Macaca fascicularis: one gene and its partner. The protein of the gene in region 2 purifies or fractionates together with the protein of the main gene of each other region. This does not show direct contact. Links are inferred from orthologs where the notes say so. Each region holds a gene or a part of one and is shown on either strand. Other genes may lie near its edges. The genes, in order: FBXW7 and NFKB2.

The links.
Region 1: the proteins of NFKB2 (region 2) and FBXW7 purify together in Homo sapiens (affinity purification with mass spectrometry; 7 studies listed by BioGRID and IntAct, with this or other methods). This does not show direct contact. The link is inferred for Macaca fascicularis from reciprocal best matches to the Homo sapiens genes NFKB2 and FBXW7.

Annotation. Positions count from the first base shown.
Region 1 is NC_088379.1:157,327,117-157,330,927, reverse strand, and holds part of FBXW7 (F-box/WD repeat-containing protein 7), read left to right. Parts: intron 1-117; 5' UTR 118-186; coding exon 187-687; intron 688-3,811. UniProt on the Homo sapiens protein: Substrate recognition component of a SCF (SKP1-CUL1-F-box protein) E3 ubiquitin-protein ligase complex which mediates the ubiquitination and subsequent proteasomal degradation of target proteins.
Region 2 is NC_088383.1:111,402,336-111,406,924, forward strand, and holds the start of NFKB2 (nuclear factor NF-kappa-B p100 subunit), read left to right. Parts: upstream 1-1,727; 5' UTR 1,728-1,833; intron 1,834-2,858; exon of another isoform or gene 2,859-2,990; intron 2,991-3,081; 5' UTR 3,082-3,153; coding exon 3,154-3,174; intron 3,175-3,445; coding exon 3,446-3,527; intron 3,528-3,643; coding exon 3,644-3,684; intron 3,685-3,923; coding exon 3,924-4,022; intron 4,023-4,098; coding exon 4,099-4,250; intron 4,251-4,505; coding exon 4,506-4,589. UniProt on the Homo sapiens protein: NF-kappa-B is a pleiotropic transcription factor present in almost all cell types and is the endpoint of a series of signal transduction events that are initiated by a vast array of stimuli related to many biological processes such as inflammation, immunity, differentiation, cell growth, tumorigenesis and apoptosis.

The DNA of each region.
Region 1 (3,811 bases), on a different chromosome or scaffold from region 2:
TGGCATCAATACTTTTTTGCAATCATTAATGATATTTAGAATGTAGACATATAACATGAAAGTAGAACATAATATAGATTGTACAAATCTTGTTTTTTCCACTATTTTCCCCTGCAGAATGTGAAAACCTTTGCATCTTCTGATAGTCTAGCCAAGGTCCAAGAAGTAGCAAGCTGGCTTTTGGAAATGAATCAGGAACTGCTCTCTGTGGGCAGCAAAAGACGACGAACTGGAGGCTCTCTGAGAGGTAACCCTTCCTCAAGCCAGGTAGATGAAGAACAGATGAATCGTGTGGTAGAGGAGGAACAGCAACAGCAACTTAGACAACAAGAGGAGGAGCACACTGCAAGGAATGGTGAAGTTGTTGGAGTAGAACCTAGACCTGGAGGCCAAAATGATTCCCAGCAAGGACAATTGGAAGAAAACAATAATAGATTTATTTCAGTAGATGAGGACTCCTCAGGAAACCAAGAAGAACAAGAGGAAGATGAAGAACATGCTGGTGAACAAGATGAGGAGGATGAGGAGGAGGAGGAGATGGACCAGGAGAGTGATGATTTTGATCAGTCTGATGATAGTAGCAGAGAAGATGAACATACACATAGTAACAGTGTCACAAACTCCAGTAGTATTGTGGACCTGCCCGTTCACCAGCTCTCCTCCCCATTCTATACAAAAACCACAAAAGTGAGTATATTCATTATATTGTTAACTTGAGAAACTTTACATACCTATTTTAAGTAATGAAACTTTCCTCTCAGTCTTTGTATTACTAAAAATTAATCTTAAGATATGTAATAATAAAATGAACTAGTTTTTTGTTTTACAGAAGGTATTGGAAAGTATTAACAAGTAGAAATACTGATAATGGGAGAATCTGAGTACAAATGGAGGGAAAGTAATTGAGCCTATTACTATGAAAAGTTATTAACATCAAATTTTTGTCTAAACCTTGAGTTCCGGGCAGGGATTAGTAGCTTGTGTGGGGTGTAGAGGTTTTGGGTGAAATATGATTTGTGTAAATCAAGTAATGAAGAAGCTTTTTATTTACAAAATGCAGCTGCTGGAGTGGGCTGTCTATTTACAAGTGTCACTCTAAGGCATAAATTACTCAAAAGTTGCCTCAAATTAGTTCTAGTTATTTATCATTTGAGAATTAGAAATAGTGGATATTCATGTAGAATAGACTTACAAGTTAAACTATATTTTGGAAAGGAACATTTTAACTTGAATAATAGCTTACTTGTTTTATAGACATTAAAATAATGTCTGTGGTAGTTCATCCTCTTACTCCTACTTGCTTATTTCTTACATTTTACAGTGATTTTAGGCCATAAACAATATACAAACTGATTTAACTGATTTGACATCATATCATTTAACCTAACTTGACTTGGAATGAAGTGTCTTACACACTTGGATTAATAATAGTTGAATTGCTAAATCATGTTTTACATCTGCTTGTAAAACCTTGACTTTCTAAAATGTGTTTGGCCCTAATTTACCTAGCCTGTCTGCAAGTCAGATTATATTTAGCTAGCATGATCTAAGAAGGACGTGACATCAAGTAGTGATTTTTCATCCATTGTATCATCCCTGTCTCAAGATGTTGAAGCAGTAGCTTTGGATCTCAGCCAGATGGCTCTACCGCTAACAACTATACACTGCTTTGTTAAGGCTCAGACCTTATATAGTGTCATTCCTCCCTTCTGTCCCCCCAGTCTTAATCCCCTTCTTCAAGGTTACTATATCAAAAGGGAGTTTATACAGCTCTTTTTTTCCTGAGGGTTCAGTTAGAGGAATAGGGGTTTAATATTTAAGTTCCAATTGCATTATCTTATTTCAGAAAGAGGTTCAATCAAAACTAAGCCTTGCAGAACAATGCAGAGTTATTGCTGATTTCTGCTACACTTTAAATTAAAAGCAAAAAAAGCTAGTTAGACAAAACTTTATCTTTTTCCAAAAGGAAAAGTCATCCTTATATTCTGTAGGAAACCTTCCAGTTCACAAGTTTGACAGGTACTTCATCTTTTCTTTACCTTCAAGATAAAATCATTAACAGAAATTTTATGTGTGTGATGATTACCTCTTTAAAAACGAAGTATACTGAATTTGTTAGTTTTTTTTCCTAGTGATTCTGAATCAGGAATAACAGTTATTCTTGTACATGCAAGATAACAAGAATGGACTGGGCCCTAACCATAGCAGGGATAGATGTGTGTATGCATTTGTATATATACACATGTACAATATAGATGTGTATATGCATTTATTATATAAGTGTGTATGTATACTTTTTGATATATTGTTGATCATGAGATGATTTGCCTTCATAAGTATGGCATGAAGAATACAAAGCTATTTGATTGCCAGGACAGTGATGCCCTTCTATAAGTACGATTTCAGTCTGAAATTTTTCTAAATGTTTTCCTTTTTGTCCATTCCTAAAACCCTTCTGCCAGAGTATTCCCGGAGCACTTTCAACAGCATTTAGAAAAGTCGCTTAGTACTGCTTTACCTAAAAAGAAAATGTCAATATTCTCCGTCTGTAGATGTTTTAATACAATAAATAGAAGCTCTCACTAGTTCAAGTACTTTATTTTGGAAGAGCTTTAAATTCTTGATCATTATAAAGTTAAGACACTTCTACAGACGTTACCCTAGACCATAGTTTCATTCAAGTCTTAAACTTTGACTTTTGAGAGTAGAGGCATAAGAAATGAAATCCCATTTTTAAATGTTAATATAGGATTAGCTTTCTACAAATTTTACTCAGGATACCTTTCAAGTTTTATTTTTTGACGTTCTCATAAACAAACCCTGTGGACAGCTAGACTGAATTTTATCCATCATCCCTAAATATGCTGCATAAGCAAATATGATATTAATGAGAAAAAAAGATGTTTAATTCTTCCTTGCATTGCTTTATTCTTTGAAAGCATTTTGAAAACTGTCAAAACTCTGAGGACAGTTTTTCCCCCCTTGTCACTAAAGGTTTGTTCTTTTGGGAGCCTTATGGCAAGCAATATATGTTAAAAATTCCATACTGTCTTAATGTTAAAAGTCAAGGGAAGTGATAGTCAAGAATTGCTATTTATTAAGCTCACACTGTTTGAAAGATCCTATGACAGATACATAAACAAAAGTTACAGAGAGGCCAAATGATCCACCCCAGATCACACTAAGTGATGAGAGATTTTAATCCTGATTTGCCTAATTGCAAAAAACCCCTTTCTCTTTCCATGTACTATGCTGCCCCCTATGGTAGAATATGACAAACATCACTAAACAAGATTTCCAATATAGTCATAGAGACTCTGGCGTGTGATGATTTTCTAATACTGTGTCCCATTTGAAGTGATCAGAGCTACCCTATAGAAAGGACAGAGAGCTCAGTTAACTACTTTTCTTTGTGGCACTTAACAAAACACTATTGAAGATTTTACAGCTCAAGGCTAAAGTAATCAGGAAGAAATGACGCTATTAAAAAATCTGATAGAGGTCATACTCTCTCGAATCCATAAAACATGCTTTTAAAGCAGAGGTTGTGTGCTGGCTGTTCCTCTAAATTTGACTAGCCTGTAAATTCTAGAGTCAACTTGGTTCTCCAGATATAAATGTCTGTCTCTTCAGTTTTTACTTCCTTTGTCAACATCCTTATCATATATATTTTTTAAAAATTGTTTTCTGAAGAGATGCCCAGCTCATATTGAAGAATCTTTGACATATTTTATGCAGATATCAACTAATTTTCTACTAACATGAAAAACAAATGAGACAATTATTAGGCCAGATCTGGTATCCTGATCTT
Region 2 (4,589 bases):
TCTTCATCAGTAAAGGTAATATTCACCTCCTAGGGTTGTTGGGAGGGAGAATGAGAACTTCTAAAGTACTCGAACCTAGTGCCTGGGACACTATATTTGCAGGCAAGATGAAGGGGGGTGGGGAAGTAATAGGAAACAGACAGCCCAAATCGAGAGCCATAATAGTCTCTCTTTACTTAGTGCCAGTGCAGGCCTGTGATTCTGTTCTTAAAAACGTCTGGGGCAAGCTGCAGGAAAGATCCCAGATAGCCTATGTTCTACCATAAGCCTAAGGGAGGAGGACTCCAGGCATGGAGATTACTCATGGCACCTGCTAAGGAGAAACGCTACTGACCAGAGAGAGGTCCACTCATGTACTCGATACTTGGTGAATTCCTGTCCTGACCTCACTGCCTCTAGAAGTGTTCAGATGGAAACTGGAAGGTCTATAAGAGGCAATTTGGCAGGACACAGTGGCTCACGTCTGTAATCCAAGCATTTTGGAAGGCCAAAGTAGGAGGACCACTTAAGCCCAGGAGTTTAAGACCAGCCTAGGCAACGTAGTGAGATCCATCTCCACTAAAAATTTAAAAATTTGCCAGGTGTGGTGGTGTGCACCTGTAGTCCCAGCTACTCAGGAGAGTGAGAGAATCAGTGCACCCCGGAGTTCGAGGTTGCAGTGAGCCATGATCGCGCCACTGTACTCCAGGCCTGGGTGACAGAGCGAGACACTGTCTCAAAAACATAAATAAATGAAATAGGCCGTGTGCGGTGGCTCACGACTGTAATCCCAACGTTTCGGAAGGCGGAGGCCAGCGGATCACCTAAGGACATGAGTTCGAGACTAGCCTGACCAACATGGTGAAACCCCAACTCTACTAAAAATACATAAATTAGCCGGGCTTGGTGGTGGGCACTGTAATCCCAGATACTCGGGAGGCTGCGGCAGGAGAATGGTTTGAATCCAAGAGGCGGAGGTTGCAGTGAGCCAAAAGCGCCTCACTGCATTCCAGTCTGAGACTAAAAAAAAAGAGGCGATTTCCCACATCGGTGGAAATTTGAGCTGTTTAAACTCTGGATGCCTTTTTCAGTTCTAATATTCCAGATCTCCGTGGTGGATAAACACTTAATTTCCCTTCTCCTGCGCAGAGCTCCTGAGTCCTGGCCCGCTGGGAACCTATCACTTCTATAAAAGTCCGAGGTCCGGACTGTCTCTCCCGGAACCCTGAGGCTGATGAGACAGAGCGAGACAGGGGCCTGGGCCAAATGGAGTCTCCTCGCGGCCTCATGAAGGCCGCCAGAGGGCGCCCGGGACCGACCGCAAAAGCAACTTCCTTCCTCTTCCGCTAACTTCCCGGCAGCCCGCCGCTCAGGGTGGGGGCCCCGAGGGCTGGGGCCGTCGGCTTCCCCCTGGGGTTCCCCCGCTTCGGAGAAAGTCAAGCATTAGGCGCAGCCAAAGCCGAGCTGCAGCGGAAGCTCCCGGCCCAAGGTGGCGCTGGGTCAGCGGGTACCTTCTCGGCGGTCCCCTAGCTGGCCGAACTAGTGGCCTGTCGCCCCGCTGGTGGCCTGTCGCGCCTGGTGGCCTGTCGCCCCGCTCCCTGCCCTGAGTGAGCCTGTCCCCTCTCAGGGGCGCGCCCGAGTCGCTCCGGGTTGGCTGCGCCAGTCCAGAGTTAAACTTTCAGCCAATGAAAAAGGGCGCGAGGCGCGACGCACGGAAACGTCATGGGAATTCCCCCCTCCGGGGGGCCGAGAAGGGGCTTTCCCGGCCCCAAGCCCTGCTTGCCGGCGAGGTGTCGCGACCGGTCCCAGGTGGGTCGGGCGCGGAGAGAAGCCGCAACCAGAGCCTCCGCCACGGTGAGTGGCTGGGTTCAGACCCCTGGGTGGCCGGGACAAGAGAAGAGCGGGAGGAGGGCCTTTAGCGGACAGCGCCGGGGGCTGGAGCAGCAGCAGCGGCGCGCAGGCAACGACACTCAGATCCACGTCGACATCCTTGTACAAAGACACACGGACCCGTACGTACACCTGTACCTGTGCTGGCGCACACACGGCAGCGTCCGTGCAGTCGCACTCGCACACACATGCACACGGAGACGTGCCCACCGGTGCACTGGTGCCTGCACCCACACCCTTCACGCACAAACTCAAGATACGCTCACCCGTGTCTGTACATCAAGACAGGCGCTGACACACACCCACACTGAGAAGCTCAGGACTCACCTGTCTACACACATGCTCGCTTGCACACTCATGTTGACGCCATGGACACACAACATGCACCCAAGCACTAGAGCCGAAACACACTTGTGGAGCTGTGATGGAGACACACGCTTGTATTGGGTGGGGAGCGTGCAGAGGTCTCCCTGTCGCCTGCGTGCCCAGAGCCGGTGCGGTGTGGAACCAGCTACTGTTGCGAGGTTTGGGAAAAAGAGGAGCCGGAGGAGAAGACACTTTTCCCGCGGCCCCAGAATCGTGTTCTCGGGGCAGAACCCCGGGGCCTCCCACAGGAAAGAGCCCCCGCCTACAGGCTGTTCGAAGGGGAGGCCATCAGACAGCAGGAATGTCCCCCCAAAAGCCCCCGGGTTTATCAGCCGTGGCCTCCCTCCTGGCAGAAATTCCCAAGGTTGCTCCAGACCGGGGGAGGGGAGCGGGAGGCGGACTTGGCTCCAGACTGCCAACCTCCCCACGGCCGTGAGGGACCCTCCTGTTCCCTGCCCTGGAGGGAGGAGGGGGCTTAACCCCCACCGCGGCTCCCCTGACTCTCCTCTCCCTCTACCCGCTGAAAAGCAGCGGGAACCCGCAGACTGGCGAGGGCCTCCCGCCCCTCCCGTCGTGAGGGCGGGGCCACTGGCGTCATTTCCAGGCCCGCCCCCTCCGGCCCCGCCTCCCCTTGGTATTTTCGGGACTTTCCTAAGCTGCTCTAACTTTCCTGCCCCTTCCCCGGCCAAGCCCAACTCCGGATCTCGCTCTCCACCGGATCTCACCCGCCACACCCGGACGGGCGGCTGGAGGAGGTCGGACCGTCCCCCAAATCTGGGCCCCCATCTCCCGCCCACCCCCATTTAGATCTGACCCCCTCCCCCACGCCACTCCTCCCAACTTTAGGCGGGCGCCTAAAATTCTGGGAAGCAGAACCTGGCCGGAGCCACTAGACAGAGCCGGGCCTAGCCCAGAGACATGGAGAGTTGCTACAACCCAGTGAGTCACGCTGCCTGCCCCTGACCCGGCCGGCCGCCCCCCGTGTCTGTCCACCTGTCTGCCCGAGCCCCCTCTGCTGCCATACACCTGCATGCTCGCAGATGCTCTCAGCCTACCAGTCTGTCCATCTGTCTACAACTCTGCCTCCAAAAGGAGCTTTCTCTTGGGCCTGAGGAGGAGGGGGAGTGACCACTGAGGACTTGGAGATGGGAGGTGGGGCCGTGGGGGGCGCTGAGAGTTGGATGCCACCCCCAGTCTGTCTCCAAACCAGGGTCTGGATGGCATTATTGAATATGATGATTTCAAATTGAACTCCTCCATTATGGAACCCAAGGAGCCAGCCCCAGAGACAGGTCAGTAAGTTCACTAACCTCCTCTAGTCCTAAAGGTAGGGGGAGGGAGAGCATGTGCCTTCTGCCTGGGGGAAGGGCTGGGAGATAGTGGCTAAGCAAGGTCTCCCTGTCCCCAGCTGATGGCCCCTACCTGGTGATCGTGGAACAGCCTAAGCAGGTGAGTAAGCAAAAGGGAGGGTGTGGAATGGCTTCAGCTTTGGGGACAAATGGGGTAGTGGTAGCTGGCAGGCCATGGAGGAGCCATTGCCCAAGGAGGCCACAGGGGATTGGATGGTCACTGCTGCTGATCAGAGTGCTGTAGTTGTGGTTCAGAGCAGATACTACCAGGCACTGTGGTCACTGCTGGCCGGGGTGGTCTTCCCTGATCATAATGCTACTCTGCCCTTGGACCTTCAGAGAGGCTTCCGATTTCGATATGGCTGTGAAGGCCCCTCCCACGGAGGACTGCCCGGTGCCTCCAGTGAGAAGGGCCGAAAGACCTATCCCACTGTCAAGGTGAGCCAGGATGGTGCTGGAGGGTTGGCTAAGTGGACAGCACGCCCAAGGCCCTGACAGTCCCTGCCTCTCCTAGATTTGTAACTACGAGGGACCAGCCAAGATCGAGGTAGACCTGGTAACACACAGTGACCCACCTCGTGCTCATGCCCACAGTCTGGTGGGCAAGCAATGCTCGGAGCTGGGGATCTGCGCCGTTTCTGTGGGGCCCAAGGACATGACTGCCCAGTAGGTGCCCTCTACCCCTGGCCCCCACTGATATGCCCCTCACTCTCTGCCAGTCCTAAGCCCCAGCCCACCTCCATGAGCTTAGCATCTGACCAAGGGGAGAGAGGTAGGTTGGCCCCAAACCCAAGGGCCCAAGTAGAAACTCCAATGGCTTCCTTGAGGAAGTAGGGCTGAGCTGAGCCCTGACAATGGGAAAGGCACCTCAGGAAGAAAGAACTGCACAGCCAAAGGCCTCTGATTCTCCCGTCTCCTCAGATTTAACAACCTGGGTGTCCTGCACGTGACTAAGAAGAACATGATGGGAACTATGATACAAAAACTTCAGAGGCAGCGGCTCCG